Kluyveromyces lactis: one gene and its partner. The main gene of each other region encodes a partner of the protein of the gene in region 2 in a complex. Links are inferred from orthologs where the notes say so. Each region holds a gene or a part of one and is shown on either strand. Other genes may lie near its edges.

Region 1 (4,049 bases), on a different chromosome or scaffold from region 2:
TGGCCATTCATTTGTCGCTAATTTGGCATTTGGATCAAAATAAAACATTTGATAATCGAAAGACCATAGCACCTGTCCGAACAGCTTTCTAATATTAGAACTTGCAGTACCCCATGAATTAAAAGTATCTTTCTTGTAATTCGATTTATTATCGCCAACGGTTGTGATGTAAGTAGCATCTTTGGACAAAATGGAAGAAGAGTGACCGATAATGTCATACCCTCCAATAAAGTCAAGAACTAAATTGAAGCTACCCTGGCCAAATGGTTGAGTTATAAAATTTCCAGTTTCATTGTTATATTCAACCAATTCATTGCTTGCCACTAGATCGCTTAATGGTTTGTAGATTTTACCGTTCGTTGCTGCATAGTCGATGAAGAGCAATTCATCGACTAGTTCAGGCAAATTTGACTTAATGAAGTTCATACCGGAGGTAGATGAGATTAACACGATTCTGTTCAATATCCTGTAATGAAACTTTAAGAGTTGTAGTGCAAATATTCCGGTCATTGTAGAGGCACCATTGATCAATATATTGCTGCTTTGATTTAATTTCCCCTCTTGATCAAGCTTGTCAAGGATATTGAATGCGGCTCCAAGACAGTAAAAAGTAGATGCCGCTTGTTGAGTACTGATGTTTACTGGCTTAGGTAAAACAACGTCAACCTTTGGATCAACCAAAATGGTAGATTCACAAGTTCCTTTACCTAAATTTGGATGCCAAAAAGTACCGCAAACTTCATCACCGACACTCCACGTATCTGCCAAATTTGAGCCTACTTCTGAGATTTTTCCATAATACTCTCTTCCAATGCCAACTTCATAGTTCATATGCCTAGTGTAACTATTGAATATCTTTAAATCAACTGGGTTTAAACCGACATATTCCACTTGCACGGAAATGACATCTTTAGATATTGGAGTCTTTATCTTTGTTTCATAGGAGAACTGAGGAGGATGATTTTTGGAATAGAATATTAGCGATTTAACCGGCACATAATGGATATGTCTTAGCGGCCTAGCGACTCTTTTCATCTCTAAAGGGGAAGCCAATTCCCTAGGGTTTGGTGAATCATGATTATATTTCACCACATATGCCAACTTCGGATCGTGTTTATTTAACAATTCTTCCGCCATGGTAAAAGAGTTACAGCAGTATGAATTTATCCAGAAAGGCTTGAAGTGGTAAGCATCCTTGTGTTAAGGGTCATGGTAGCGGAAGTCTGTGTAAACTCCGTTCTAATTCTTTTAATTGACGCTTTTTTTAAATGAAATTTAGTTTAATACGAGAAACAATAGATAATACAGAAAATGCTTAAAACAGAGAACATATATACGATCCGGGGTATATAGTACGGACTTGTGAACGATATGCATGATGTGGTAAGAACTGAATTTAATGACTGTCCAGTGCGGATGGAAGTGTGATAGTGGAGCTTGCCAGAGGATTGATAAATCATCCCTAGAATGAAATTATATACAGTGCGGTGCTTGAAGAGTGGTGAGAAAACCATAAACAAACTAAAAGAACACACTCTGTATAACCATGCAAAACTAATGCAGATAAATGACGAGGGTGATGCTGCAAAAATATTTTACACAGCTACAGCAATTTTACCCGGTGGTTCCAGATTTGCTTCCACATAATATTCCACCAAGTCTTCCTTGTCGAAAACCACCTGGATCATCAACGAACAACTGGGACAAACTGCAATGTCTTCTCCGTCATACATATCATCAATGGAAATTTGGAACCTGTCACCACAGGGACAAGGATACGTAAATATCTGTGTATCTGGGTCGAAAGTCATATCCTCAATCTCAACCTCATCGTAAGTGGACATTGTTCTAATACTATTAATAATTAATTCTTTCTCTTTAAGTTAACTTCTAGTAGTCACTTCTCTCTTCAATATGCCAGCACCAGGTTGACCAAAAGTTTATTCCAATTCCGTACCCTTAGGTTAGAGAATATTGAATGCACTGGGTATGAAGACATAGGTATTAAACATAATGCGATGAGCGTAATGATTGACTCAATTGTCATTTCATGTCAAAAGTTTCAGTTTTTCTTTTTAACTTGTTGAGAAAACCGGGAAAAGAAGGACTGGTTCTTTTGAAGAAGTCACGTGATATTTCGGGACTATCACAACCCAGACATATATTTTACACCCATACATAATTCAATTTCATTTATTTTCACTAATACCTAAAAAGGTAATAAGTATTTTTAAAACAGACAAATACCATAATGGTTAGCCAGGCCGTCCCAAGCCACTCACTACCGGTGTAAACCCCCTCTGGCCTCAGAATGCTCTGGCCCACACCACTCATTCAGTTTCTGGCTGCCGTCGATATCCCTGCCCGTCTGCCCAGAGAGCAACATTCCATCTACCACCTAGGCAGAATCTTTCCCCAGGAGTCTCTCCTCCAGCTCACCTTTGGCCATTCTCACGCTTTCTCTGTCCCTTTCTCTGGGCGAGCTGGTTCCCTCTGGCAGTCCAATACTCGGCAGTGTGGTCCATTTTGTCGAAAGAACAACTTTGATTTCCATCTAGTGAAAAGTTACAAAATTGTTGTATACTGTTATATACTGTTACCTTCTATAGTTATTGTATTGGATAGTTCTTGAAATACAAGAAGAGGTCAAGAAGCCAGGTCAAATAGTATGTTTTATACGTGGGTACTATTGTGCTTTGTGGAGTAACCAGCGGATGCAATACAATGAGAGAACAGTGCGATTACATGTTTAGATATATTTGAAAGAGTTTTGAATTGATGGAATGAATTAGAAAATGTTTTAGATCACTGAGGGTGAATGACAGTTACCAAGGAATAATCAGTGGGAAGTCCGTTATGGTGTAGCAAAAAACTAGCGAACTGAGGAGATTCATACGAGTAAAGAAGCGGCTTTCTAATATCGAAGGTGGGAAGTACGGGATAGTATACAACCAAGAAGGCGAAATTATTTGTGAAGTAATTAACTCAAAGAGAAAACATCGTTGGTGGCATCTGAAGTTATCTTATATAACTACTCTGTGAAAGTACAAGCAAAAGCTAATTAACGGCAATCAAACGAAAGAAAAATTTACTAACATCTTTTACTAAAGCTTTTATCTACAGTAAAGCAAAATGGGTATTTCTCGTGATTCTCGTCACAAAAGAGCTGCTACCGGTGCTAAACGTGCTCAATTCAGAAAGAAGAGAAAGTTCGAATTAGGCCGTCAAGCTGCCAACACCAAGATCGGTACTAAGAGAATTCATCCTGTTAGAACCAGAGGTGGTAACCAGAAGTTCAGAGCTTTGAGAATTGAAACTGGTAACTTCTCCTGGGCTTCCGAAGGTGTCGCTAGAAAGACCAGAATCACTGGTGTCGTCTACCATCCATCCAACAATGAATTGGTTAGAACTAACACTTTGACCAAGGCAGCTATCGTTCAAATCGATGCTACCCCATTCAGACAATGGTACGAATCTCACTACGGTCAATCTTTGGGTAAGAAGAAGAACACTAAGGCTGAAGAAGAAACCGCCACCACCTCTAAGAACACTGAAAGAAAGTGGGCTGCCAGAGCTGCTGAAGCTAAGATCGAACACGCCGTTGACTCTCAATTCGGTGCTGGTAGATTGTACGCTGCTATCTCTTCCAGACCAGGTCAATCCGGTAGATGTGATGGTTACATTTTGGAAGGTGAAGAATTGGCCTTCTACTTGAGAAGATTGACTGCTAAGAAATAAGTCAACTCCTTCGCAAATTAACATATACGCCAATTTATCAAAACTCCTTATTAACCGTTATTATCACAGCCAAAGGTTCTTTTGGTCATTTTATATCTTTACAAATGTATAAAATATAATAAGTCATAGTATTTTTACTTATAACTTTCTCAGTTTCAGTACCATCAGTACTTATGCAAGGTAGTTAAAACTCTGGCTCCGATTACTAGCTCAAGATGTCCATCTCAAAAGCGTGTATCTACAGAATGTTGAGAAAACGATTGTTATGGAATAATGTACGAACAGTAGACAAGATGTATGTTATGTGATAT
Region 2 (4,105 bases):
TATACATTATGCGTTACCAAGTTAAAGGAAACAATGAATAGCTATCTGTTCGAATCAACGGGTATGGAATTGTACTTTAATCTCTTCAACATGATTTTCCCAATTATTTCTGTGCAAGATGAGCTTGATTACGACATGTATCTTTCGGCGGTTGAGAACCCAATCATGAAATTAGCAGTTATTCACGACAATATCCACGAAAAATTGAACACCTATCTTCCATTAGCAGTTTCTGATTTTCAAGATGTAAAATTATTCAATTTGATGCCACCAGCGGTTGAAGAGGACATTGTGTCCACCTGTTTCGGAAATTTTATCAAATTCTATAAAGTGTTCAAAAGCGTTTTGAACAAAATATATCCGGAAGACGAAGAAATGATAATGTCGACATTAAACTTTACGACTAACGAAGTTTCCACCCTACTAGGTGTTGAAGATAAATAATTAAATAAACAAATGTGATGTCCCAGATTGTAATTCGATATAATTAATGCATTTACTTAGATAGTTACGTCGTCATGGTTTGGGACCTTACCTCTACCATATCCGTTAATATGATAATAATCCATCGGGTAATATTTCTCATTGAACATCCGGTCGTTTTCAAGCATCACGTTAGTTTCGTACGGTGTTAGTAATGGTTTATTGAAAGCATACCCCCAATCAATGGACAACCTTGGGCAGGCAACTTGAACAAAGGCATCGATATCATCAAACATTGCAAGCTTTTGTGGGAAAATCTCGCTGAGAATAATCTTTACTACAGTCCTTCCGGAAGCCTTGAGCTTAGTTTCGAGATTTTCAACTGTTGCTAGATTACCTTGTCTACCTAACGCGCCAAGTATCAAACCAACTTTCTTCGAACTGCGAGCTTTATCAATGGCAGATGCTCTTACCTCTACCAATTGCTTCTGATCGTAACGTTCTCTGGTGAATCTTCTATTATAGGGATCATATCTGAAAGCAGGAATTTCAGGGTTATGAATCATGGCCGATTCTAAATGAAACCTACCATCCCCAACATAAACCATCGCATCTATTTGTTCCTTGTTTAGTCTTTCAGAAGTACACCCAAGAACTTCACCCTTCGAAAGTGGTTTGATCTGAGGGGGGATGATATATAACATGTGTTCCTCCGACTGCAACAATTTGTCCTTCATACTATGGATAGTTGGATTAAACTGAATTGTTCCGAATGCAGCAATCCGTGAACCTCTTGGGAAGTTCTTCTGTAACGTCTTTATTAGATGTGTCTCATCAATATTGATAGTGACAAAGATGTAAAGTACCTTGATAGTAGTAATATCGATCGGAACTAAGCAGGAATGTGCATAATGGACAATGAAATCACAATCCAACGATCTTGCTGTATAGTCATCAATACAGCATGCACCATAAGAAACATCGCCCATAACCACAATCTCACACTGACAGAACTGCTCCAAAATATCACTTATCACCAAAGAGTATATGAGCAACCCTTCAGGCATTTGAATAGCAACACGCTTTGCTTTGTGCTTTCTAATGTTCCATACAGTTTTATGTATTTCAAAGTTATAGTTCGAGGGAAGAAGCTTGATAGCAGCATTTAACTCTTCGTCATTTAAAAGCTCCGGCGGTATCTGATTAATAGCATGACGAATGTTAGTCTTAGGCTTGATTTTCTTCACTAGCTCAGTGGTTGATCCCGAGGGATCACTTTCTTCTGCAGCTTTTTTGATACCAACAAACCTTCTTCTAGGCTTTTTCTCAACTTCACCCATAGTCATCACAAAAGGCGCTATTTAGCAATTGGAGCACAACACTTGCAGTTAAATGGTGTCTGGAACAGTAAAACCTAAACCGACTCATCTCATCTCATCTGTTGGTAATTCTTTTCAAATATCCAAAGTTGGAAATTTTTCTTTCTTTTCTGTAATCGTCTAAGTAATTTCTGATGACTGTAATTCTAAAAGGTCAAGGTATGTGCCACTGAGATGGGATTATATGTCCTTTTTAGTTGCTATAAACATAACTATCTGAATTGCTAATTTGACCACCCATTAATTTCAGAAACTATACAAGAAGTAACTTGGTACCGGAGTTTCGTATTTTACCGGTATAGTGTTCCTAATGATAACTCCAAGATTTACTGTCACTCAGGATGATGAATACATTTATGTACAAATTAAGGTGTCAAGCATAAGGTTTAACAGTGCTGGTGTAGAGGTTGTAATAGATGGTTGTATGTTTATCTTCCATTTGTCGCCGTATTATTTGAGGTTGAGATTATCAGATGAATTGGTGGAGGATGAAACTTTAAATACAGTGGAATATGATTCCAAACAAGAGAGCATCAATTGTAAGATTCTGAAGGCAGTTAAAGGTAAAGAGTTCAAGGACTTAGATCTCGCTAGCAAATTATTGGCAGCAAAGAATGAACCTAAAGTGACAGATGGGCCGTTGATTCAAGAAATTAGTAATGAGAAAGAATCAATTGCTGATATTCGAGAAGAAGGAGAGCATTTTGATTGGGAAATCAAACAAGAGGTTCAAGTAGATAATACACCAACAACGAAATACGGTTTCGATAATCTTTATACAGGATATATTGTTATGTCCGTTGCAAATGGCAATGACATTAACGAATTGGATGATCCTGAACATACTTCTCCCGAGAACAGAGTCAAGGAAAGATTGAAGAAGGAAAATTTGAAATTTGATCCAGAGTACTATGCTGCTGAATATATAACCATAAAACAGGGCGATGAAGAGGAAATCCAGATTAATGGCATAAAAAGATTGCTTGGGTACCTTCCTCCTCTTTGCGAAAGGTATCAGCAGTGGTTCGAAAGGTCAGACAATGAATCGAAGGAAAGAAATGTATCTTTTCCTGTGGAGTTCACCGAAGCGGAACAGACTCAGATGCAAGACCACATTCCTAAAAAGAAGTACTTAATAAATGACGTTAAAAGCCAATATCTAACGATATTATCAATATTATATTCTTACACTTTTGAGCAGATCGAAAATGAGGGACAACATACAACTGAAAGCCAATGGACAATCGGTAAATTGACCCCACAGATCTCAATGTTGGACCAACAGATTCTTCTATCCGAGTCTTTAATACATTTCTCTCAAATCAAAGGTACCATAGTAACAGGTATTAGAAGAGCTCTCAGCTATCCGTTGCATCGTAACTATGACCTCTGTATCAAAGCATGGCAGTTGGCTATCAAGCTGTTACTTGGAGGGAAACGTTTGGTAATAAAAGCGTTATTGGATATCCATGAACTATTCCGATACCATGATGTCTACTACGTTTACAATAAAATTCTGTTGGATGATCTTTGCGCATGGTTCATTTCTCAGGGAAACGATAATGTGATTCAATCACTAGCACTTCAAGCAAAGAAAGAGCTTGAATCGATCACAAAATCAGACATTGAATTTGAATGTATTTCAGGAATGAATGAGGAGACTGGCGAGGTTGAATGGGAAACATTGAATATCTCCGAAATAGAATATTTAGCAGAACAAGAAGAAATAGTACAATGAGTGCACTTATATAGATCAATTTTCCAACCATCTTTAATCCGGTAGTATCAATCAGGTATTTAATAAATTGTCCACATAGTTAGGACCTTTCAATAATGTTCGAGGAGGAGAAGGTGAGATCTTTTTGATATCATCGATAGTGGTGTCATTGCTACTATCATCACCGAAAGCATCGTCATTTGTTCCAACGGAGGATGGGTCAGATTCTTTTTCTACCTTTGAATTATTTTTTCCCGACGTGGGACTATCCCCATGATCATTAACATTATTTCCAATAGCAGAGCTACCTCTTGAATTCGACTGTTTAAAAGCAACCTGATTGATGGAGTTCAAATCAATGACACCAAAAGCAGAGTTTGTAGAATGTGTTCTTCTATGTTTCCTTACTGCATGTGGAAACGATGAAGGGCCCGTCGTCGTGAGTTTTCTTCCAGACCCTGGGTGATTCCCTGATAGATTTTGACCGTTATATGTTTGCCAAGCCGAAAAGTTTAACACTCCAGTCGTTGGTTCATTTTTGAAGATGGGCATTGACATCATTCTCTTATGTATATGCCTTTCAGAA

The links.
Region 1: DPH1 (region 2) and KTI11 share a complex: the UniProt entries of both Saccharomyces cerevisiae proteins name them as parts of the 2-(3-amino-3-carboxypropyl)histidine synthase complex. The link is inferred for Kluyveromyces lactis from reciprocal best matches to the Saccharomyces cerevisiae genes DPH1 and KTI11.

Annotation. Positions count from the first base shown.
Region 1 is NC_006041.1:1,815,846-1,819,894, forward strand, and holds KTI11 (Kti11p), read right to left. Parts: upstream 1,845-4,049; coding exon 1,596-1,844; downstream 1-1,595. Other genes in the region: KLLA0_E20417g (uncharacterized protein), read right to left, coding at 1-1,137; RPS8A (40S ribosomal protein eS8), read left to right, coding at 3,133-3,738. UniProt on the Saccharomyces cerevisiae protein: Required for the first step of diphthamide biosynthesis, a post-translational modification of histidine which occurs in elongation factor 2.
Region 2 is NC_006042.1:372,254-376,358, reverse strand, and holds DPH1 (2-(3-amino-3-carboxypropyl)histidine synthase), read right to left. Parts: upstream 1,770-4,105; coding exon 501-1,769; downstream 1-500. Other genes in the region: Golgi transport complex subunit COG6, read left to right, coding at 1-444; Hsp90 cochaperone SHQ1, read left to right, coding at 2,113-3,540; BOP3 (Bop3p), read right to left, coding at 3,592-4,105. UniProt on the Saccharomyces cerevisiae protein: Catalyzes the first step of diphthamide biosynthesis, a post-translational modification of histidine which occurs in elongation factor 2.